Struthio camelus: one gene and its partners. The protein of the gene in region 2 binds, or shares a complex with, the protein of the main gene of each other region. Links are inferred from orthologs where the notes say so. Each region holds a gene or a part of one and is shown on either strand. Other genes may lie near its edges.

Region 1 (8,097 bases), on a different chromosome or scaffold from region 2:
CACCAAATTCCATCAGCCTTTTAAAATGCTGCATTTCGGTGCTGTAAAACTTCTACAGCACATTACAGCTGGTTTTAGGTTTGAGTGTCCTGAATAATTTCACTTGATTAGCAAATATCATCATGCCCCTAGGGGTATCCTTTCCCCAGATAATCCATCAGTCTGGTAAACAGTGGGAATTACCCGTAACCTCCCTTTCCTTGTGAGAACGGAAAGTTTGTTCCTAACTCCTTGTTTCCTAGCAGATAACTAGTTACTAACAAGGGGATGATCCTCCTTTTTATCCATGACACCTCAGACTTAAATTTTGAAAGGATCTCAGAGGAAAAAGAGGTAAGTGGTCTTTCCTACCCATATGGAAGGGAGGCAGAACATGGGCAGTGTGAAGCAAGCTGGTGACTAATCATATTATGTAAGGTGAAGAGTTTTGGTTGTGTGACAAACTAATCCACTTTTTCGGAAAGGCGTTACAGTATGGACAGCCTCTTACACAAGGGACAGGAGAGCCAATATTCTACGGGACGCATTAACTTGTTGACTAGTGCAAGGACATTAAAGCAGTATCACGTAGATGAGGAGGTCAAAGGAACCTTCAATAGCGCAAGTTCTGGATATTCAGAATCAAAATTAAGCATAGCAAAAGACAAGAAGTGAATTCTTCACAGTTGCACACCAATGCTACAAGCCCGAGTTATAATAGCGAGGAATTGGAGCTGCTTCACTTGTTACTGAAGACCTTTGGCTCAGACAGCCTCCCTGTCACAAGTGGCAATACCTATTTCAGAGTTGCTAATAAGAAGTAGATCTTTAAGCATTCAAGACTAACGAAGGGAACATTTAGCAGAGCACTGACTAAATCACCTATCAATAACCAAGTTACGCAGGAAGTGTTCATTGACACTGCTTGAGTGAGAGGACTTTCTTTCCCAGCCCTATGTTCCTGTGACTCGGTGGCACGCTAAGCGTAGGAAACAGGAAAGCTTCAAAGACCTATGAGAGGAGTCTCATTTGGCTAATAGCAAAACACTCGCAGGTTTTTAGAAATATAGCACACAACAATTTCTTCATACAACAATGAAATACATCCAGTAGAGAGGAACTCGGCGTTGCTCCGTTTCTGACGGACGAGGAATTGATCACAGAACTAACAAGTCAAGCCACACACCTAGGAACAAAGACAGAAGCTGCGTTAATGGACCAGGGCACGCTGACCTGCGAAGCACTGATCTCTGGAAACAGGCGGTCAATTGGCTGACTACACACTCCAAAGCGCGAGCACGGTGCATGACTCACAGAATCAAAGAATCACAGAATCGTTTAGGTTGGAAGGGACCTTTGGAGATCATCTAGTCCAACCTCCCTGCTCAAGCAGGGTCACCTAGAGCATATTGCCCAGGATCACATCCAGACAGGTTTTGAATATCTCCAGCGAAGGAGACTCCACCACCTCTCTGGGCAACCTGGTCCAATGCTCCGTCACCCTCCCAGTGAAGAAGTTTTTCCTCAGGTTCAGATGGAACTTCCTGTGGTTCAGTTTCTGCCCGTTGCCTCTTGTCCTGTTGCTGGGCACCACGGAGAAGAGGCTGGCCTCATCCTCTTGACACTCCCCCTTCAGATACTTGTACACCTTGATGAGGTCCCCCCCTCAGTCTTCTCTTCTCCAGGCTGAACAGGCCCAGCTCTTGCAGTCTTTCTTCCTAGGACAGGTGCTCCAGGCCCTTCATCATCTGCGTAGCCCTCCGCTGGACTCTCTCCGGGAGCGCCATGTCTCTCTTGTCCTGGGGAGCCCAGAACTGGACCCAGCAGTCCAGATGTGGCCTCCGCAGGGCTGAGGAGAGGGGCAGGATCACCTCCCTCCACCTGCTGGCAACACTCTGCCTAATGCACCCCAGGAGACCATGGGCCTTCTTGGCCACAAGGGCACATTGCTGCCTTATGCTCAACGTGTTGTCCACCAGGACCCCCCCAGGTCCTTCTCTGCAGAGCTGCTTTCCAGCAGGTCAACCCCCAGCCTGTACTGGTGCCTGCATGGGCTTATTCCTCCCTAGGTGCAGGACCTTGCACTTGCCTTTGTTGAACTGCAGCAGGTTCCTCTCCGCCCACCTCTCCAGCCTGTCCACGTCCCTCTGAATGGCAGCACAGTCTTCTGGTGTGTTAGCCTCTCCCCCCAGTTTAGTATCATCAGCAAACTTGCTGAGGGTGCACTCTGTCCCTTCCTCCAGGTCATGGATGAATACATTGAACAAGACTGGACCCAGGACTCACCCCTGGGGGACACCACTAGCCACAGGCCTCCAACTTGACTCTGCGCCATTCACCACAACCCTCTGAGCTCGGCCATCCAGCCAGTTCTCAATCCACCTCACTGTCCACTCCTCTAACCCACACTTCCTGAGCTTACCTAGGAGGATGGGATGGGAGACAGTGTCAAAAGCCTTGCTCAAGTCCAGGGAGACAACATCCACTGCTCTGCCCTCCTCTACCCAGCCAGTCATCTCGTCATAGAAGGCTATCAGATTGGTCTAACATGATTTCCCTTTGGTGAATCCATGCTGACTCCTCCTGATCACCTTCTTGTCCTCCACATGCTTAGTGATGACCTCCAGGAGGAGCTGTTCCATCACCTTTCCCAGGATGGAGGTGAGGCTGACAGGCCTGTAGTTCCCTGGCTCCTCCTTCTTGCCCTTTTTGAAGACTGGAGGGACACTGGCTTTCTTCCAGTCCTCAGGCACCTCTCCTGATCTCCAGGACCTTTCCAAGATGATGGAGAGTGGCCTAGCGATAACATCCGCCAGCTCCCTCAGCACTCGTGGGTGCATCCCATCGGGGCCCATGGATTTGTGGATGTCAAGTTTGGACAAAAGATCTCTAACCTGATCCTCCTCAACCAAGGGAGAGTCTTCCTTTCTCCAGACTTCCTCTCTTGTCCCCAGGGTCTGGAATTCCTCAGGACTGGCCTTAGCAGTGAAGACTGAAACAAAGGCAGCATTCAATAACTCTGCCTTCTCTGTATCCTTCGTCACCAGGGCACCCGCCCCATTCAGCGGCGGGCCCACGTTTTCCCTAGTCTTCCTTTTGCTCTTGATGTATTTGAAGAAGCCCTTCTTGTTGTCCTTGACATCCCTTGCCAGATTTAATTCCAAATGGGCCTTAGCCTTCCTTGTCGCATCCCTGCACGCTCTGACAACGTCCCTGTATTCCTCCCAAGTGGCCTGGCCCCTTTTCCACATTCTGTACACTTCCTTCTTCTGCTGGAGTTTGGCCAGGAGTTCCTTGCTCATCCATGCAGGTCTCCTGCCCGCTTTGCTCGACTTCTTCCTCAGAGGGATGCACTGATCTTGAGCCTGGAGGAGGTGATGCTTGAATATTAACCAGCTCTCTTGGACCCCTCTTCCTTCTAGGGCCCTACCCCAGGAGATTCCCCTAAGTAGGTCCCTCAAGAGGCCAAAGTCAGCTCTCCTGAAGTCCAGCGTTGCAATCCTGCTTGTTGCTCTGCTCCCTCCTCGTAGGATCCTGAACTCCACCATCTCATGGTCACTGCAGCCAAGGCTGCCCCCAACCTTCACCTCTCCAACTAGACCTCCTTTGTTCGTTAGTACAAGGTCCAGCAGTGCACCTCTCCTCGTTGGTGTCTCCACCACCTGAGTCAAGAAATTATCATCAATCCTCTGCAGGAACCTCTTTGACTCTCAGACATCTAAAGGATGATCTCAAATCGCAGCACAGACTATACTATTTCCGCATAAGGCACTGGTGCCACCGTGTCTGGAATACTGTACGTACGGCTGCAGTCAATAATTCAAGGAGATAACTGAACAGGATTCAAATAATCGTGTAACTAAGGTTGGAAAACGTCATGTAGCAAAAGACCACAAGGAGCCTGATCTGTTCAAACACAATGCCAGGAGTCACTCGGGGTGACGGGTTGGGCAGGGGGGAAGTGAGTTACTTTACCTCAACTGACACTTTTTTTAGTCCATTTTTTTCCCCCTCACGTCTCTCAGGTAGATGTCCTCCTGAGATTAGATAACATGGAGACCTCGAAATCAGTCTCAAGTTTTTTAGGCTAACCCAACACAGCCCTTTCTCCTGGAAAGCAGAACCCTCCAGTTATTGGGGCTGCTGATACGCAATCACTGTAACGCAGAACAAACCTGCACTGCTAGTGAAGACGACATCGCCTTCCTTCCCCGTTCCTCCAGATTTAACTGCTCCCTATGAACAGGTCCAGCTGAAAATTAAAATAGTTTTCAACTAGATCTGTTCTCTCTCTGGCTACCTGCGAGGCCACCCAAACACGATACAACAGAGAAGATGGAAATGAGCAGCAGGATGCTAGGAGGGAGATTGCTCCTTTTAGCAGATGTATAAATCCACGCAGGATGCGTGTGACCAGGTAACCACAGGCTGAAGCTCCTCAAGCCACTGCTGACTGAAATGCTTCAACTTTGCTCCGTTTTTTAAGAGCCATTCCTAAGCAAGAGTGAAAGCAGACTGGTCAATTTTCCAGCTTGCTAGCTAGGAGAAAAACCGAACAGGAAATAAAACCGAAAAAACAAGCGCACAAGCAAAAGGCTTAGGAATATTTTATAGCTCCTTCCACCACTGCTTCTGGCAGCAGAGGTCCACTGCAAAGCCCGCTGCTACAACTCTCAAACAGTAGGCAGTCAGAGGCTGATAAAAAGACAGATCCTTGAAGAAGGGCAAGGAAGAGCACTGCGCTAGGAACCCATGGGATCAGAGCTGAGCCCTTTCCTGGGACCTTGGCACACTCTACTTCTTGTCACACTGATCGATTTAGAAGCATTAGTAAATACCTCAAAAATCCAGCTTTATAAGAGCTAACAACTCCAGAGAAAATGTTAGCAGTTTTTTGTCAGATATATGAAATATCAGAGAACAAAAAATACCCGAACTCCTACGTCTGCAGGGGAATTAGAGCAGAACGCGAAGAGGACCTGGGAGTTAGAAACCGTTGTCACCTCTGATGCAGATATTTGCAGATCGCAATTTAAAGTGAAACGTTTGCTTCCAAACGATGCTTGGGAGAATCTAAGTGACCTCCGATTACATACTGAGCCCCTAAAAGAGTAAGAATAAACATGTAGTTTCCTACAAAATTCTGGTGACGGCGTGAGGCTAAGCAACGGCTGATTTTAAAGAAATACTGGGGTCTGAACCACATAGAGCGATCACAGCACAGTACTAAAGATAACGCCCTAGAGCATGATTCAGTTTTCTTCTGAAGAAGAAGAAGAAAAAAAGAGTATCTTCAATTCATTATTCTTCTAGAGCTTCTTTTTCAGTGATACATCAACACACATTCAAAATTAGAAGCAAGCCCAGTAAACAGCAGCTGTGATTTTGCACCTTCCTATGCTGAAGCAACATTTTGCTGACCAAATATTTAAACTGACAGAACTAATTACTGCTTTTTAAAGTATCCGGCAGACCAAAACAGAAATGGATCCAACATACTAAGTTTTCTAGAACGATCTTGCAACTCAAATCCAGCCAACTACCGTATTAAACTAAAATCACAAAACACATTCTGGGCACTCTCTACAGCTAATTTGATCCTATTGTGCAGCTTGTCCTCTTCACCGCGTCATGAAAACGTGCACATGCTGCGAGCGATTCCAGAGCAACAGGAGCCCACGTGGATGGATTTAAATAAAAACCATTTTGCTCACCAACTTTCAGTGGGGCTTTCTTTCAGTTATTTTCCTAAAGGAAAGTTGCACCAAACACAGAGAACCTTGGTTTTGGGTTTTTTTTTTTCGCTGACCTAGAGAACCTATTTACAACTATTTAAGCAGTTACAGAACTTAACATATGTGATTCAAGAGAGTTAATTCTCGCATCATATTTCAACCTGACCAGCAAGGCCTATCAAATATAATCTAGTATGTAAGAACTGCTATGTCTGGCAAGTTGTATTTCAAAAGTCTAAAATTTGACCAAAAACATTATTTTAAAGTCTACCTTAAAGATGCCAAATACATTAACTTTTTCTTGATAAATCAGGAAAAACTGATTAAAAAGAGAGACATTAGCTGTCATCATTGAATTAAACAGACGAAATCCCATTGTGCCCTTTCAGATGATGAAAAGTTGTTCGGACATCTTGCACAATTTTTACTCATATTGGAACAGAAAAGGAAATTCTTCCTTATTTTCAACTCTCAGTAAGCTAGCTCTATATGCAAACTAATGAAAAACTTAAAATATATGAAGGTCTGCACCGGCAGAAGTCGTTACAGCTGTCAGGGGCTGTTTCCAGCCCTTGGCCCTTCTGCTTACCTAGTGATTTTATAAACTCCATTATTTGATTTTCTCAAAGAATTCTGATCATAGAGTAGGACTTTATTTCCCTTTCATCTGAGTGATTCAGATTAAGGCCTTAATATATGCGGTCCGTTCGAAATGCAATTGTAGGCAGATTTGCTCCTTACAACAAAAAAATGGACTCTTAAAAATGAACTTTAAGCTCCCCTCACTCGTGTGATTTTCTTGTACAGCAGGAGCCAAAGAGAGGCACCATCTTCCTTTAAAAAATGTCTTTCGATAACATTGTTCTATTCAGTTGAGCAATTCAGAGAGCGCTTAAACACAAATAAAGGCAGGAGAGTGCTAAGCTAGCAGAAGAGGGTACTTCTGCAACAGTGCACGCGCACGTGCGTGTTCGCAGATGGGAGCGGGGCATAATTTAGGGGAAGCCAGGTAGCAGAAATCAATGCAGTGTGCTGTGAAATATGAAGAAACTCAAGCGTACATCTTGTAGTACTGCAAAAGCCTGTTAAAACAATGTTGCAGCAGCCATTTTAACTATTCAGCCCTCTGTTTTTATTTAAATATTAATACCAGTGTGACACCCAAATCAAAGATTCAATATCCCTACTGCCTCCCTGGGCATATTTATTTTTTTTGAATATGTGAATTTGAGTATTTTTTGAATACGGAATATTTGCACTTTCACGACTACTGTTGTGTTGACACACAACTGTAAATACGGAAGAGTCCGCAGAGGCGAGCTGAGTGAAGATTCGCCGTGACGGAGCAGAGCGGAATTCAGCCCCTGTGACGTTCTCATGGGGGCAGCACAGTTATTTGGCCACTTGGACTTCTCAAATAAGACTTTCCAGTAAAGCAGTATAAGGGAGTGATCACACTGGAAAACAGCTAAACTGGAAATGGGAGGGGAAAAAAAAAGAAAAAGAAAAGCCTAATTCTCACCTATTTGAATGCTGTAGCAGGTGACATTTTATTAGGAACTACTGAAATACACATTAACCTCTGGAACAACATATTAGCAAAAGACATTAAAATTTTATTTCGCTTAAGAAACCCTCAATATAAATGGCAAGAAGCTTCCTCTAAGACTGGATAATCTCAAAGTAAGTTTGAAAACGATGTCGTGAAGAAAGCGTCCTGCCACTCTAAGTCGTCCTTCCAGTCAAGGATGACTGAAGCTTGAGAAATCTCAGCGCTGCACTGAATTATTTTTCGGTTTGCCTAGAGCAACGTCCCTTGCTCCACCCTCTGCTTCTTACGATCTCCTTGCAACCGCACAGCACAGAGTCACATCTGACACAGCCTGCCTGGTTGATTAACAACAACAAAAGCGCTCCACACACTCCAGCCAGAGGACTGCTGGGTACCAAGCAAAGCAGTAAGCTGTGGAAAAATCAACTTGTCAGCACTGCTGGATATTAAGTCGAAACACATTTTAATGGACCTGCTCCCACGTCGAGAGATTCATTAGGGCCCAGAAATCAAACAGGTTTATAAATATAAGACGCTTAAAACAGTAAACAAATATTTCATTAAATTCCTACTTCGATTCTTTTTGCTCCCAGTAAAAGCTGGATTTATTTTAAATGACTATTTCAGTATAGCCAAGTACATTTGCCAGCACTGTTTGTAGGTCACACTCCTCTTTTCTTCTGTAGAGCTAATCACATTCTCTGTTGCTGAGCTGCGTATAGAATCTTGCACTTACTTGGACAGAACTGCATCTTACCAAGGCAGGTGCAAACCAAAATAAGCTGCACAAACGCAGGGAGGAGGCAAGCAGCCGCTGCCGAACTGGAAGAA
Region 2 (8,076 bases):
GTGATTTTTGACTAGTTTTTCAAGCTTGTTTGCCAGTGTTTTACATTAGAACTAACTGTGAGGCTTTCAGAGCCCTGAGTGCACTGATAGTCTTAATTGCCCTGACCTCCTCAGTCTTCTACCCACACACCCCCGACCCAGGAGCTGCATTCAGGCTCAGGCCTGGGCATCCAGACCTAGCCCGAGCTATGTTGTAGGTGTATCTGTGCCCGGCTGTGTCTCCCTCTGGCCTGACTTGATGACTGGGCTTTCTAGATGGACTGCTGATGTATGTTGTAGGCAGTCTTCTCTCTGGCTCAGTCTCCTGGATGGATATTAGACCTATGTCAGCAGTAGACCTCTCTCTGGCTCTCAATTCTAGTTAATCATCTTTCCGTTCTTCAGCCCTGTCTCCTGTTGTTCCTGACTGGACTTCCTGGATGGGCTCCCTGACTTGTGGCCTTGCCTTGTCTGAGGCTGTTGACGGAACCTGACACTATTGCCACCCCAGCCCTGCTCAGGCACCGTGGGACGGCACTGTGGGTGATAACACCCTCCCTGTGCTGCAGTCACCCTCCGCTCCCGGCTCGTTGTTTCTCGTGGAGCAGGCCCCCTCTTGCTGCTCCCTGATAGAGAGGTCTAACGTGAGACGACTTCTGTTTTTGCCAATAAACTTCTGGGAGGTGAAAAGGGGGCTTAACATAAGCTTTCCCTACTTACCTGAAAGAATGAGAGTTCTGAACTTTTAACAGAAGTGGAAAATATTCTAATAATTGTTTCCTATAGTGCTATGATTGTTTGAATAACTAACGGCTAATGCTATTCACTAAACTCAAAATAAAATCTTGCCTTTTTCGAAATTTAAAAGAGGCAAGAAAGAATGAAAAGTTTTCAAAAGAGATAATGCAAAGAAATGTGTATTTCAATGCAAATATAATCTCATCCTCACTTCCAGATATTCACTGGAAATTCCTCGAGCTGAGATTCTGATAGCATAATTAACCATACGTGAGAGGTTTTTTCATTTTTGACCAGTCCAAATTTTACAGAAATTATACTCAGTGAGAAGATGTACAGTACTGACACTACTACATTTACATATGATTACATCAGTTAATTATGGTTTTGGATGTGCATCTCTGGTTCTATGTAAGTGACGTCAATAACTACCATTTGTAACTGCAGTCACACATAGGGCTGAAATATTATGTCGCATACATACGTGTTCTGAAATTTGACCTGTTACTCATTACCTCAAAAGAGTCTGACTTTTATACAGCTGTGAATAAAATATTTTTTAACCCTTACAACACAGCAGATCATAACAGTGGGACATCTAATGCTAATGGATATTAACAGAATTGAAAAGAATTAAAACCTAGCTATTTAGATTGAGACCAGCCAAGGAATTATTTAACGTAATTCAGGGTAGGCAGAATAAATCCATGCTAGCTGAGAAGGTTTCTGAAAGACGTTTAAGTTTTTGGTGAAGCTGAATATACTTGCTTTGCAGTTCTTGATGCTAGGTTGCATAGAAGCAGAGCGTATTGCAGGCATTCAAGCCTGATGAAGTAGTTTATTATCCCAGATAGCTCCTTAAGACATAATTTCGCAGTTTCACTACTCCTGATAGGAAGGTTATCTTACTTAGCAGTGCAGCCTGAAAACAAGCCTGGAAAAATTTTTTATATTTCAACCCATCTATTTCAGCCTCTCTTTTTACTGCCAGTGGTGTGTGAATTTTCAGTTCTCTCTTTACATCTGTCACAGAGTGCCAGAAAATGGAAAAGATCTGCTTCAGTCAATAGGGAGAAAGAAGTACCTTGAAAAACAGCCTGCCAATATTTGACAGTTCTATACAATGATGACAGTTCATTGGCTTCTCAAACCTTGTCCACAAGTACAGTTGCATAGTTTCGGTTGAGCCAAATTAACAGCTTGATGGCAAAGGGTCTCATTGTCTCCCATCTTCCCTGCTCAGTCAGTTTTCTGCCATTTTAGCAAGTTGAATTAGCATACCACGCAATCAAACCAAGATGGTGCATGGAAAGCAGTAAAAGCATAAAACTGGGACTGGGAGAGGCAGACTGCGAACAAGGCATCTCTTCACAGTGATAGTGATCTGCTCAGTCAACTCAGGCCAGACCATGAATGATCAGGCTTTGCACGGGAATCAAAAAATATTTATCTATATATTTATATATATCCAAAAAGGTTGGAAAGGGCTAAATATGTAAATATCCCCCCTTCACTGGCTCACTGGGCATTTGGCCCAGTTTCAAACTATTATTCACCTGCTTCATGTATAACTGAAGCTATTTAGCTGTTTTAACATTTGCAAGGTTAGACAATTTAATCAATACAGTAAGAAATGCAAAATGTTAGCTATACTGCATGCACTAGTTTGAAAGGATTTAGAAAGTTGGACAGTAGGCACAACATTTTTAATTACAGAGACAGCCTAATCAGTCTGAAACTGTTCTGATTTCTGGAAACATCTAGTTTGCATGAAGCACGTTCAGAAGTTAATACAAATATTAATATAGTCATATTCACACTCCCATTACATCATCTTATTTTCCTACTCTGTAACACAATAATTAGGCCCACAGTGATGTAACACCGTAGTAAAAATAAAATTTCATCGCTGCATAAAACGGTATGTCACTTCTCTTGTCCTCATAGTTCATGAAGCCATTAGAGCATACAGATGGAACAATTTTTCTTGCAAACCACCTCCACCCACTGATTATTTGATATACTAGAGCAGGCCTTGGAAAATACAATTGCTTTCTGTTACTGGTGAATGAGAGTCTTTCCCTAGCAAGTGAGGTGAGGGGGAGTCAAGTTTTCACAAGAGTCTCTACATCTGTGGTCACAAAGAAAACCTCCCAAATGTTAACTGAGTCAGTGCCATCTTTTGAACCTGTATTCAGTCTAATGCACGGATTCAGTGTTTTCCCAACTACCAGCAAAACAGACAATTTTTGCTGCTGCTATTCAGGAGTAGGTGGGTAACAACGATACTGACACAGTGTTTCTATTATTTGGAAAAACTATGGGCACTAGGAAGCATAAAGGAGGCCAAGAGCCAATGAGAAACTCATTAAGCAGCTTAAACTGATCTAAATCTAGTCTGTTGAGGTCACATCCCTCCCCCGCCACACATTTCCACCCGCTTCCTTCGGCCATTGCTAGTGTTTACAAAAGCAGGTGGTGTGCCAGTTCAAGGCAAAAAACACATCACTTTGGTGGGATAGTTTTCAGCCAGATCAACTCTGTGAACTGGTTTAGGGGCACAGCACTAGCAACAGCGCAAAGGAGGGAGGTGGGAACACAACCGCTTGGAATTAAGAACAGTTTAAGTTTGTGTGAAACTATAACCTAATAAAGAACTGGAAGTTCTGGAGTTTATCCTCAGCTATATGAATCCTTTCATACGCTGATCAAACTCCAGCTTAAAAGAGGGCTGGATTGCTTTGCCTTACTATTTCTGAGTATGTTCCTAACCCACATTCCTCTTTCTGGGTTGGTCAGAAGTCTTATTTATAATGAGTAGAAATTCACTGATGACCGATTCCTAACAGAAGCACAATAGTGATAGTGGCACCTCCATTCTAAATCCTCTAACCAGAGAAGATTAGGGAAAGGCTAAGAGGCAGACATAATTTGTTTTCTAGCACATAAGAGGCGGGGAGGGGACTGAAGCAAGAGGAAGCAACTCCCCGTAGTCAGAAGACTTCTTTGCAGTGCTTGGATAAGGGAAAATTTCTTCGCCTTGTGACCACAGCAAAAGCAAAGTGTTCCCCTACGACACATACAAGCTGATGCTAGCTATCATCACATCAGACAGGAACAGTTATTAGAAATCCCAGTTCCTGAGAAATGAGACCTCAGCTGCTCACTGGTGCTGGCTTTTATACTCACCGGGTGGGAAAGAAAGGAAGTCAATTTTTTAATGCTAGTATTTAATAGGCACCTGTAATTTCTTCATCCTTTAGTAGTGCAGCATAGTTAAAGCTTAATAAACGTATTTAATATACATTTTAGATGTTTTATGTCTTGGGTTACAATTCCCTATGCTTTTTTCCTCAGTTTAATAGTAACTTGGGGCTTGGTCAGGCTACATGATAAATGCAATTTGTAAACGTTCCTGATAAAGTGTCATACCTGTCTTCTTTTGTGTCAGAAGACTATTCCGATTTTTGCATTGCTGCTCGGAAAGGTTAAAGAGTGGCTTGTTTTAACACTAACCTCTGGCCAAAGGTGGGCATAATTGAAAAGAAAACATATGCACCTAAGCATTAAAAAAAGGGGCGGGGACAAAGATACTATTACAAAATCAGGCTGCATCTATGTAAAGCTCACCTTTTCCTTATCCACATACTGCAAGCACACCCTGAAGTCCTCAGACTGATGATGACCAGACTGGGTGTGTACGACAGGGACAGCACGCTTCGTATACGCCCTATATTAACTTTCTCTTCCTTAAACACTTGCCGCCCTGCGGCGAGAGGCTCCCGGACCGGTCGGACCCTCCCGCTACCGGCCTCCAGGGGAGGCCGAGCTCCCGGGGGGCAGCTCAGCCTCGGCGCCCGGCCACCTCCCGCGGGGCCCCGCCGGCCGCGAGAGCCCGCCGAAGGCCCGGGGCGCTGAGGCGCCGCCTCAGCCCTCCGCCCTCCTCCGAGAGGCGGCGGGATCCAGAGGAGCGGCTCTGCCCTGGGGGCTCTGCGGAGCGAAGACAGCCCCGAGCCCCGGCTCTGCTGCTGCCGCTGCTGCCCCCGCCGCCGCCGCCGCCCCCGGCCGGTCCCCGTCGCCGCCGCCGCCGCCGCCGCCCCGCTCGGAGCGTGACAGGAGGGGGGAGGGGCGGGAAGCAACAGAGAAGCCCGCCCACAGGGTGACGCCATGGGAGCCTCGCCTCACGTGACCGGGGCAGCCAATGGGGAGGCGGCGTCCCGGCTCCTGCGGGCGGGGGGGTAGGGGGCGGAGGAGGAAGGGGGTGGGGGGAGGCCGAGGCCGCGGCCGTCGCCGAGGCGGGCGGGGGGGGGGGGAGCGGCAGCGCGGAGCGGGACCGCCGGAGGTTGCGCCTCTCCGGCCGCGGCGCCGAACCGAGCGGCCATGCCGAATAAAAACAAGAAGGAGAAAGTGAGTCGGCGGCGGGGGCGCGCGCGGGGAGGCCGGGCGGGTCGGGCCCCGCGGGGAGGCTGTGGGGTGCAGGCCCCGCCGGGAGGGGCCTGGGGCAGGGCCCTGAGGGGGGCTGGGGCGGGTCGGGTCGGGCCAGGGGCAGCCCCCCCCCACCGTTGTACGCAGGCGGTCCCCTTCCTTTCCTCTGAGTGGGGGCTGAGGTGACTCCTTGGGGGGGGGGGGGGCTGGGGCCTGGCCCCGGGGAGGCTGTGGCGGGCTGGCATCGCCCTGCCCCGCTCCGGGGGTTTCACCCCCCTCTGCTCCCCGCCGGAATGGGGCGCGGAGCCCCCGCGGGCGAGGCCGCGGCGCCGGGGGCGGGGTGGGCGAGGGGTTGAGGGAGTTGATGGAGGGCGGTCGTGGGTCTGTTGTGTGGCGGAGGGCTGGGGGGGGGGGTCACGCAGTTGGACAAGGCGCCTGGAGGAAGAGTGAGTTGGAGAGGGTGTCTCTTAATTTGGGACCAGCCCGAGTCTCTCGTGGCGGAGGAAGGGGTGGTTTTGAGGGAGGCAGGATAAACGTTTGGGGGGGGGGGGGGGATTCCTGGGAGAGCCACCTCTCCAGCCCTCGTCCCGGGAAGTTTCACTGGCGCGTTGCTTTGACTGCAGTTGAAGTTGTGCCTGGAGAATCACCGTAAGCACTCAGCAAGCGTTAATCAGCGCTTGAAATCTTTTCATCTGCTCCTCCTGCCAATGGAAGATGGATGTTGTTTTGGCCTCGCTTTGCCTCAGTTTCCCCTATGCATCTGGGAGGGATTTGTTTGGCAGCCGTAAAAGGGGCTAGCACAAGTAACGAACGTTAGCAGAAAAGTTTTAAGTCCAATATAAAGTCAACGGGATTGCACTTTATTTTGTGTGATAGGCAATTAGCTGTCACGGGAATGAGTGCACATCAGAAGCAGTGAAGTATAAGTCTGCATGGTCCTGCTGCTATCCCACCAGACCTTTTTATGTTTGTTTGACTTCTATCTGCTTTCTAGTTTTTCAACATCACTTTAAAATTAGGTGTAGGAAGATTGGGCGGATTTTGCGTTTCTATTTTCTTTTTTTTTTTTTTTTTTTACTTTTTCCTAACATCCTTGTCTCTTTGATGTTGAAGAACCTCAACACTTATTTCTCTTCTGAGAATAACAGAAGTAGCTCAAAAATATGCAATGGGTGAAGGATGTAACTTAAGTGCAATGCTGGGAAAGAGAATTTGGGGTGCAGACCTACTTCACATACTAGAGTTTTTAGCCCCATTATAGTTACTTGGAGGAAACACCTAGAAGAGACAAGATAATGAAGTGTAAAATGTGTACTGCACTGATGCTTGTTTCAAAGCTAAATATAACTACTCCCGAGGCCAAAAAGCAAAGACAGCAAGGCTCAGTTCTTAGGCATGGCTGAAATCATTTGCATTCTTTGCCCCTGCTTGTTTACCTATATACAAGCCTCTCTTTAAACACGTTATAAGTGGGTTTTGAGGAATAAATACAATGTAAGAAATTTTCTTGAAGGTGAAAAATGTTAAAAGCAACTTTGTAGAGACTGCTTTTTCAGTATTAAGTTTTTTTTCAGTGAAACAATATAATTCTCATCTCACCATTTTTAACGTTCTTAGCAAGTAGCTAAAAAACTGAATTCTTGATGTGAAAGTCTATCTAAATCTTTACAAAATAACTGAGGCTGCAAACTTCATTTTTTAGGAACCTGCAAAATCAGGCAAGAGTGGAAAAAGTGGTAAAGATGGACAAGATAACCAAGAACATGAGGTAAATATTACTAAAACGTGTAGTTTTTCCAGGCAAATGTGTGATGACTTTTGAAGAGCATATTAAGTTTGTCTAGATTGTTATAATTTTGATGTGATAGATGGCTGTAAGTAAAGTGGTTATAGAACTTCTGGTGAAGTATTTGACAAAAAATATTTTAAGACTGGAGAAAATGCTTTTGAGGAAGTTGAATTTTATTTAGAGCAACTTAGACTAAAGCGAACATGCAAAATATTTCTCAGATATTTTTCTGTTTTCTTTTTCGTTCTGAGGTGTGTATCTATCTTATTTTCTAGTCTCATCATGAGGTTTTGGACTTGTCTTTTAGTTGCTTATCACGTTTTTTTTATCATTCTTCATAATTCCCGGAGCTCTCTTCTCTTAAAATCATGATGTGAGCATGTCAGTTAAGTGTCAGTATCCTGTTCCATATTGTCTCAGGAGACCTTAGGCTTAATTAAAGGCCGCCAACTTATTTCTGTTGTGTGATTTCTTTTTATAGGTGTATATACTGGAGTGTTCCATTTTTGACTGATTATTCTGTTGTTGCTGCTGCTACTTTTTTCAAACTTTTACATTGCTTTCTGCTTTGCTCGCTAGCAAGGTGCAGTGAATTCAAAGAGGTCGATTAAATTGTGGCTTACTCGCTTTCCCGTGTTAATCTGGAAAACCAGAGTTAATGGTTTTGCTTCATTTGGAAATCTACAGGGTTCAAGTGGATTCTGGAATTTCCTGTAAAGTGTTAATACCAACCTATATGTAAAATGCAGTGCTGAAAAGTTTGTGCAAAAATACATTTGAAAACCATATTCTTATCCAAAATTACCACTTCCCCTCCCCTAAATGACTATAAGAAAAAAAAGAATTTTTGTGTTTGCTCTGTAGTGTGTGTATTCTTTCTGATGCACTTCATTGAGTTTGTTTATTTCTTGTGCAGAAAGATGCATGTTACAGTATGTTAATGAAATCATTAGATTTTGTGAACTTTAGTATCTTGGCAAATTCAGGTAAAACAATGATTGAATTTTGGTGGAGGGAACTGGTATTCTAGCGACAGGGAAAGCCCTTAGAAAGAAATCGGAACTGTATCAGAAAAGAGAAGTTCATAATAAATAGTAGAAATACATATACTTAATTGTGATATGTTTTTGTCTTTGCAGTATGTT
Region 3 (7,290 bases), on a different chromosome or scaffold from region 2:
CCCTTCCCTGTGACGTGGACTTGCTGACATTTATGAGTTTTGTCCTGTTGTTTGTTTTACGGGTCTCTTGGCTTCTGCAGTTCTGGCTTAGCATGTTCCTGAGCTATTCTAGTTCTTAGCCTTGGCTTTCTCCGGTCACTATATTCAGTAGCATTTTACATTTTTGATTCCATGCTGTCTATACTCACCAGGAACGAGCATCCACATCCTGCCATGTCTGAGAATACTAGGGATACATAACTATGCCTTTTCTTTCAGGGCACGGAGCAGGACTCACTCTCTTTCATTTTACATGTAGCCACTTAAATCTCTAACCACGTTGGGTCAGAAAGAAAACACCAGTGCTAACAGGACTGTGAAGTTGAATGTTCCCTTCTGAAGTAGGATATTCCCGAATGAAGGCCACTCTTTCTGCCACTATTTCTACGTCAAGTGCTAAATAGGCAGCGAACTCTTGGAAAAGAATAACAGCCATCATTGCATTGTGCACCAACCCTGATTTTACAATGTGTGTTGAACAAGACCTCACTATGCTGACCGCTGGGAGCCCCTGTGGAGCTTTAGGCCAAGGAATACCTTGTTTTTAGCTCTTTGTCAGACTTAGGCAAGAACCACGCACCAAACTCACAGTCCTGTCAAGGCTGAGGCAGTTCTGGGCATGTGAAGAGGTGAATCCCTGGGTACCTGGGGCACTTGCAAGACAAACAGGGAGGCACCTCTGGAATTTAGGTGCCCTTAAGGTGAGATGTCAAATGAATGTGGGATTTCAGGACCACACTTTGGGGCTTGCATGTTTAATGTGGGACACAGGCAGGATTCTGGCCCCTGTATACTTTATTGCTCTTTTATCACTGGCTTCACAATGTGGGAATTCAAAGGCATTCTTCATATATTCTGACAGTGGAGTAGCTGAATCTTAAATGTAAGCTTTCATATACTGATTTTGGAAAAATTTTCAAACCTCTGCTGTATTAGCGGAGAAGATAAAGTATTTAGTGACAGAGCTGGTGGTAATCCGTTCCTAGTAGTACCTGAAATGTATACTTTACAAACAAAATGGTGCTTTTCCTATAATTTGCTTATGAGCTCTAGAATGTTTTTCCTCAAATATAGTGTCATAATGGAACACTTTTGTGTTAGAATAGTGTTTCTGTTTTGAAATATATTAAAAAGGGAGGAACAACAATTTGAATACATCGTGCTCACCTTGGTGCTATTTAGTTTCTGTAACAATTTTGGAGCTTTTGAGTCTGCAGTTGTCTGATGATTCTCATCATAATTCCAAAATAATTATGCTTTTTTTTTTTTTTGGTAAATCTCACATATACTGTGCAGACAAGCTAGGTGGATAATACTGAAAATGATCGAGTCTAATCTAGAAATTTGGGAACATCCAATCATCTTCTTTTTCATCACGCTGGAATGAAACCAAACAGGAGAAGGATCATTTGTTGCATAACATTTTTCTATGATATGAATTGCTACGAACTGTTGCAAAACTCATTTGGTTCAGATAAAAGCTAGACTGACTTGTTCTGTTACATGTGTCAGGACGGCTGACATAAACCTGACCATCATTTAAAGTTTCCTAAATGACTGGCTAATTCTAATGAATTTCTGCGTTTATCTAATGGTCTTAAAAATGCCTTTCTTAAAAGAAAAGATCTACATCTTCTAAATAAGCCTAGGAACAAGTACGACTACAAGCACTGAGCCTCCACAAATCTGTTTGGATTGAGATCACGTGTTGTTTTTATATTGCCTTATTTAACACCTAGACCTTAATTTTGGCTAAAGCTTGAACAAATATTATCAACCAAATCCCCTTCACCTATTTGCATGTATTAGGATATTCTAGTTTACGTTAGCAGTGAAGCACAAATGCTGGATATCTCAAAGTTAATGTTGCAGGCTTATTTGTTATATTTAATTGTCACTCCAGAGAGATATTTAACTGCACATTTCTAGGGTGGGAACAACAAGAGCCTAATGTTGATGCAGGTCACTCTGAAAAATCTGAAATGTTTTGAAGAGATGCACGCTTTGCATTCCTCTTTTTCCTTGCTCTGCAATTTACACTACAGGTCTTCAGGCCATATAGATCTTTTTGTCTCTTGTGGGCCCCCCGGCTAGTGGGCTGATCGGCACATGCGTGTCTGCAGGCTGGCTACCAGAGCAGATCACCCTAACTCTTCCCTCTCCTAGTGGAGCAGGTATACTGGGGCACCATAACAGAGAGGACAAATTGGGACAACAGTGGTCCACACTTTTTTCTCCTCGGTGCTTTTTGGCTGAAATGGCTCATCAACACATTTAATATGTACCCCTTTGGCACAATAGGACTCTGATTCTAACTGGTGCCTAAATGGAAATGTGGTATGAATATTTAGTAATACTTTTATCTGGCTCGTCCAGTGGTGCACAGGAGAACGTCATAAAATGCCGTGGTTATGCCAGCTGTGAATCTCTTGTCAAGGAAATGGAAAAAAGAATTATTTTAAGAGGAGGGAGGTAGCTATTAGGATCTTCTAGTGTTGAGTCAGTGCTCAAAAATCTTATCCAGATATAGGAAACAGGATCTACCACTCTGTTCCTACCCATCCACCAAGGACAGCACGTTATCTGTCATCAAGTCTGTCTCCATTCTAGGAGATACTCAAAACCCAGATGGACACTTTCCTGAGCACCCTGTTCTAGCTGACCTCGCTTTGAGCAGGGGGGTTGGACTTGACAAACCCATAGGTCCCTTCCTGCTTCAAGTGCGATCTGTGATCTTTGTGCCTATATAAATTGCTCCATTGAAATGGACAATTCTTCAATCCTTATGTGTTTCCTGAGGGCACAACCCTCTGCCTTTTCTGTTGTGTCCAATTTTGTCATATGCCTGTCACATGTATTATATAGCAACATCACCTATTTTAATTTTGGGAAAAATCACTTTCTTTGTAGGTTAGTCTGTTTAGTTAATCACTAGCCAAATAAATTAAACATAACTCAGGAAAATAACTGAATCTGAATTTGCAGACCTAAAACCGGTCTACAAATTGCTTTGGGTAAAACACTAGTATAGGTAGGGCTGAGCTGCTGAGCCAAACCCCTTGTGTATTTTGTCTTCCCATGCCTTGTCTTCACATCCTATCTCTGTCCGCTAAAAACCTCAGCATTAATTTATATCCCTCTCAATTTAGGTAGTGTATTTATCGATTATAGGCTCATTATGGCCATTTCTTAACAGTGAATTTCAAGTTTTCCCAGCACACAGACTTTTAATACATTTTCTATAGTCTCATTTTAGAGTTTTTTGCAGAGAATCATAACCTCGGTATCCAATCAGTAACACGCAAGATCAAAACAAATGAAAAAAAACCGAGAAACTTTAGACACTGGTCACACGAGACAAGTGTGTGCCTGTGAGATTACGAGGCCGGACGGAGGGTGTCCTTCACTGTAAAACACCCTCAGCAAGCACAGCTGTAGAAGACCTCAGGTCTGGGTCATGTGAGGGCAGATGGCTACAGGCGCTGCGGGGTGCCGGCACCGCCAGGTCGGGGCTGTCGCCGCAGGACGGGACGCGACCTGTCCCGTTAGGTCTTTCCGAGCCCCCCGACGGCCGTCCCGACCTCCGAGGCGGGCCGGGGCCCGCGGGCGCGGCGGCTCCGCTGCCGCCGTCGGCGGCGCTCGCCGTCCCGCTGCGGGCGGGCGCGCTGGCTCTTCGCGCGGCGTGCACAAGCGGCACGGGGCCCCGGGCACACCTGAGGGTTAGCAGAAAACAACAACAAGCTAATGGGCTCCTAATTTGCACCCTGGGCACGGCGAGCACGCGAGCCGCTCCCTTCCTGTGCGAGCGGCGGGGGAGCCTGGCCCGGCGCTGCTTCCTCCGCGGGGAGGGACCGACGCGGCCGGCGGTGGGAAGGGAGGGAAGGAATCGTCTTATTAAACGCATATACACCGAGGCGGGAGGCAACCGCCCCGTCCATGCCCGCGGAGCCTCGGAGGCCGCCGGGCGCGCCGCGCTGCCCGGGCTGCTGCCGGGCCCCGCCGCCGCCCGTCACCGCCGCCGCCCGCCGCGGCTCCCAGCCCGGCATGGCCCGGGCCCGGCGGGGCCGCCTCGAGCGGCTCTTTGGCCGCAGCGAGTCGGACGACTCGGAGGCGGAGGGCGCCGCTGCCGCCCGCCGCCACCCGCCCAAGCGGCGCCCGGCGCTGCCCCGCTGGCGGCCCGGCAAGAAGGAGCAGCAGCAGCAGCCCCGAGGAGGGGGCGGCGGACCCGCCTGGCCCCCGCCGCCCGCCGCCGCCCTCGGCCCCGCGCTGCGGTAAGAGCGAGCCCCGACGGCGGAGGGAGGCGGGGAGCGGGGGGCGATGCCCGGGGGTCCCGCGGCCGCGCCGGCGGTAACAGCCGCCCTGAGCAGGCGGAGCCTCCGCGGCCCCAAGCGCGCTCAGGAAGCGTAGCTGGCCTCTAGTAAGAGCCTTTACTCTTCCGCGGCAGCGGACTTGCTCCGCGCTCGTTTTCCCGGGATGCGCGAAAGAAGGGCGAAAAGGGAAAAGGTCTCGGTGGCACTTTGCTCCAGCACCTTCGCTATCTGTTGCTCCCCAGCGCGCTTCAAAGCTGCCCGTGAGCGGTGCCCATGTCACGCACGCTGCCTTACAAGGCGCCCGTGGAGGGGGCGGGAGGTCGCCGAGCGCTGCTGGCAGCCCGGGGCGGCTCAGGGAGGCTGGCTGCAGGCGGCTGGGCGGCAGAGCCTCTGCACCTGGAGGCAGTTCTCGGCAGGCTGTGGCAAACGTGAGGCTGCAGCAAGGACTGATTCAACACGATACTGCTCGGGTCTGAGACCCGGGCAAGGAGAGGGTGTCAGCGCTGCCTGGATTGAAGAAGACTCGTTGTAAATTAGTGATCTCTGCGTGGTCCGGATTGAGAAGTGTGTTATGTTCGATAAGAGTGGGGCTGTATGACAGTCATACAGGGCTTGCTTGACTGCTGAACTACAGTCTAGCGAAGCTTGTGTTTGGTATCGGAATGTACTGTTGAAAACTTTTGACAGCAACATCTCATATAGAAACCCATGTGAGCTCATGCTTACTCATGAGTAGGAAAAGTAATACGAAGTCTGCTTTTCAGAGCTATTGAACCAGGAAATGGTGTGTTTTACAGTGGTATTGAGTAGGTAATGCTGCAGGTGACCTCCACCAGGAACAGAAACGGCTTCCCCTCTTCTGCTTTCCAAAAAACAGATGGAACAGGAAGCATAGTGCTCTGTAATTGTCATAGGATTACAGCGTAGTTTAGGCTGGAAGGGACCCCAGCTGGGCTCTAGTCCAGCCTTGTACTCAGAGCAGGGTCAGGTCTGAGATCTCACCAGGTTACTCAGGCTTTATCGAGTTGGGTTTTGAAAACTTCCAGGAATGAAGACTGCGTAGCCTCTCTGAGCAACTTGCTCCCTGCCTGATCATCCTCTCGTGAGAAGGTTTCTCCTTGTGTGAAAGAGGACCATCTCTTGTTTCAATTTCTGCCCTTATGCCTTGTCATGCACTGCTGAAGAGCCTCTTGGATCTTCTTGGTTACGCCCTGCAAAGGTGCCGGGGGCTGCTGTGAGCCCCCCGAAGCCATCTCTTCCCTCAGGTTTGACCAAGCTGCTGCCCTCGAACAGCTGGGTCACCCCAGTTTATCAATGTTTGTTTTCTGTTGAAGGGGCCCAAAACTGAATGGAATATTCTAGATGTGCTAAACGAATGCTGAGAAATGGAGGTTAAGTTCTTCCTCTATTGCTAGTTCCGTTTTCTTCCAGATACCTTGCTCCGTCTACTGCGCCAAACCAAAGCAGAAACACTGTGTGGGATTTGGGGCTTGAAATAATTGGAGGATGTTTTTGCTGCATAAAGTTACCAAGTTCTGTACATAAAATATAAATGAAACCTAATACCTGCAAGGCTTTTGAATTGATAGCTTTGTAATTTGTTTGAAAACACAGGGTTTTTTGCTTTCTGTTCAGGGAACTAAACCTTCTAGTATTGATACAATATGTGCCTTCAGCACATAGAAATACACATTTATGTTAACATCATTAACCACAATTGGTCATCTTAGGACAGCACAAACGTTCTTGTTCGTGTAGCTTTCTACCATCGTGTGTGTTTGTTTTAAATGGAATGAACAAAGCCTTTAATGCACAGCCTGAAAAATTCAGTGCAATTTTTTAAGGTTGAGGATTATGGTATTTTTTCTCAAAATATATTGTTTGAAGTATTTTATTTTTAGTAGGCTAAATGATGGGCCATGAGACATGATCAGAAGAATGCTGTGTAGACCGTACAAAAGTATACTTTAAACAGCAATGATTTTCAAAATTTGGGGTGCTTAATAAATAGTCGCATTTTGCTATGAGAGAGACATAGTTTGGCACACAGCTAGCATGAAAGCTGGCTTTTTGAAGATACCTATTTAAATGATAGTCCAGTTTAAAAACAAAATATCTCAGTAGCTGTTTTGCTGTTCTTATGCTATTATTTTTTTTTTTTAGGTAGGCAAAACTTTTCATTGCTGTTAGATTACTCATCTTGAAGAGCAGTGGCCAATATAGCATAAAAAATGTGTCACCATCATCATCTAAAATACCAAAGAAGCAGCACAGCTCCTTTAAACTTGAGGCTGCAAGTGTGCACTCTTGTCCTCAGCGAAGTGTTTGTGTTGTACTACCTTTGTTCTTGGGTGTCTGAGGTTAAATCAGGAAAGCCAGATGAACTCCACTGGACCCTTTCTCCCGCAAAAGTTCCTAGAGTCTCTTTTCCACAGATAAGCGATGCAGACTGGAGCCTTTAAACAGAAGAAGCTGCAGCGAAAGAAAAAAAATCAAAGGAAAGATGGTGTCACAGTGTCTTAGAAAACTGCACCGTCCTAAGATACCAAATTTTACTTGGTCCTTTGGAAGTTCCATCCCTACAGAGTTGTCATGTCTTGGACATTGAATAATCTGCACCCATCGGCGGCTTTACAAAGGGAGATGATGACTTTGATTTGAACTTTGAAGCAGGAACTTGGCTACAGGGCAACGAAGGAAATTGTATATCTTTGGGGTGTGAGCGTTTAGCAGTTTTTCCCACAGTGTACTACACTATGAATTGGGAGCTTTGGGTACTTGAAGGCTCAAGACCGGGCAAGTTACTACAGTCCAGTTATGAATTGGCTGAGCCACAAATCACAGTAGCTAGATTGTTGCCTGAAATGTGTCAATGTAATCGCCGTCAAAAAAGAAGATATTTTTGCTCCTTATTACTTCCTCGTTTCACTGGTAATTGTCA

What was found.
Region 1: the proteins of PPP2R5C (region 2) and PPME1 are in contact, whole or in part, in a cryo-EM structure (PDB 7SOY), measured with the Homo sapiens proteins. The link is inferred for Struthio camelus from reciprocal best matches to the Homo sapiens genes PPP2R5C and PPME1. Residues at the interface, in NP_002710.2 of Homo sapiens: Asp180, His187, Arg188, Tyr190, Gly191, Leu194, Arg197, Ser230, Ile231, Gly234, Phe235, Ala236, Lys240, His243, Asp313, Gln341, Tyr348, Glu353, Tyr354, Glu399; in NP_057231.1 of Homo sapiens: Arg37, Lys38, Arg39, Asn192, Lys217, Val251, Glu252, Gly253, Ile254, Ile255, Glu256, Glu257, Pro345, Gln346.
Region 3: the proteins of PPP2R5C (region 2) and CRYBG1 are in contact, whole or in part, in a crystal structure (PDB 6VRO), measured with the Homo sapiens proteins. The link is inferred for Struthio camelus from reciprocal best matches to the Homo sapiens genes PPP2R5C and CRYBG1. Residues at the interface, in NP_002710.2 of Homo sapiens: Lys183, Thr184, His187, Tyr190, Gly191, Leu194, Arg197, Ala198, Arg201, Glu226, Ile227, Ser230, Ile231, Asn233, Gly234, Phe235, Ala236, Lys240, Glu242, His243, Pro265, Gln266, Tyr269; in NP_001358171.1 of Homo sapiens: Pro1136, Phe1138, Ala1139, Met1140, Pro1141, Pro1142, Ile1143, His1144, Glu1145, Asp1146, His1147, Glu1149.

The regions. Positions count from the first base shown.
Region 1 is NC_090942.1:223,149,832-223,157,928, reverse strand, and holds the start of PPME1 (protein phosphatase methylesterase 1), read right to left. Parts: upstream 3,005-8,097; 5' UTR 2,990-3,004; coding exon 2,874-2,989; intron 1-2,873. UniProt on the Homo sapiens protein: Demethylates proteins that have been reversibly carboxymethylated. Demethylates PPP2CB (in vitro) and PPP2CA. Binding to PPP2CA displaces the manganese ion and inactivates the enzyme.
Region 2 is NC_090946.1:71,135,547-71,143,622, forward strand, and holds the start of PPP2R5C (serine/threonine-protein phosphatase 2A 56 kDa regulatory subunit gamma isoform), read left to right. Parts: upstream 1-4,990; 5' UTR 4,991-5,097; coding exon 5,098-5,124; intron 5,125-6,844; coding exon 6,845-6,910; intron 6,911-8,076.
Region 3 is NC_090944.1:58,589,817-58,597,106, forward strand, and holds the start of CRYBG1 (beta/gamma crystallin domain-containing protein 1), read left to right. Parts: upstream 1-4,227; 5' UTR 4,228-4,310; intron 4,311-7,290. UniProt on the Homo sapiens protein: May function as suppressor of malignant melanoma. It may exert its effects through interactions with the cytoskeleton.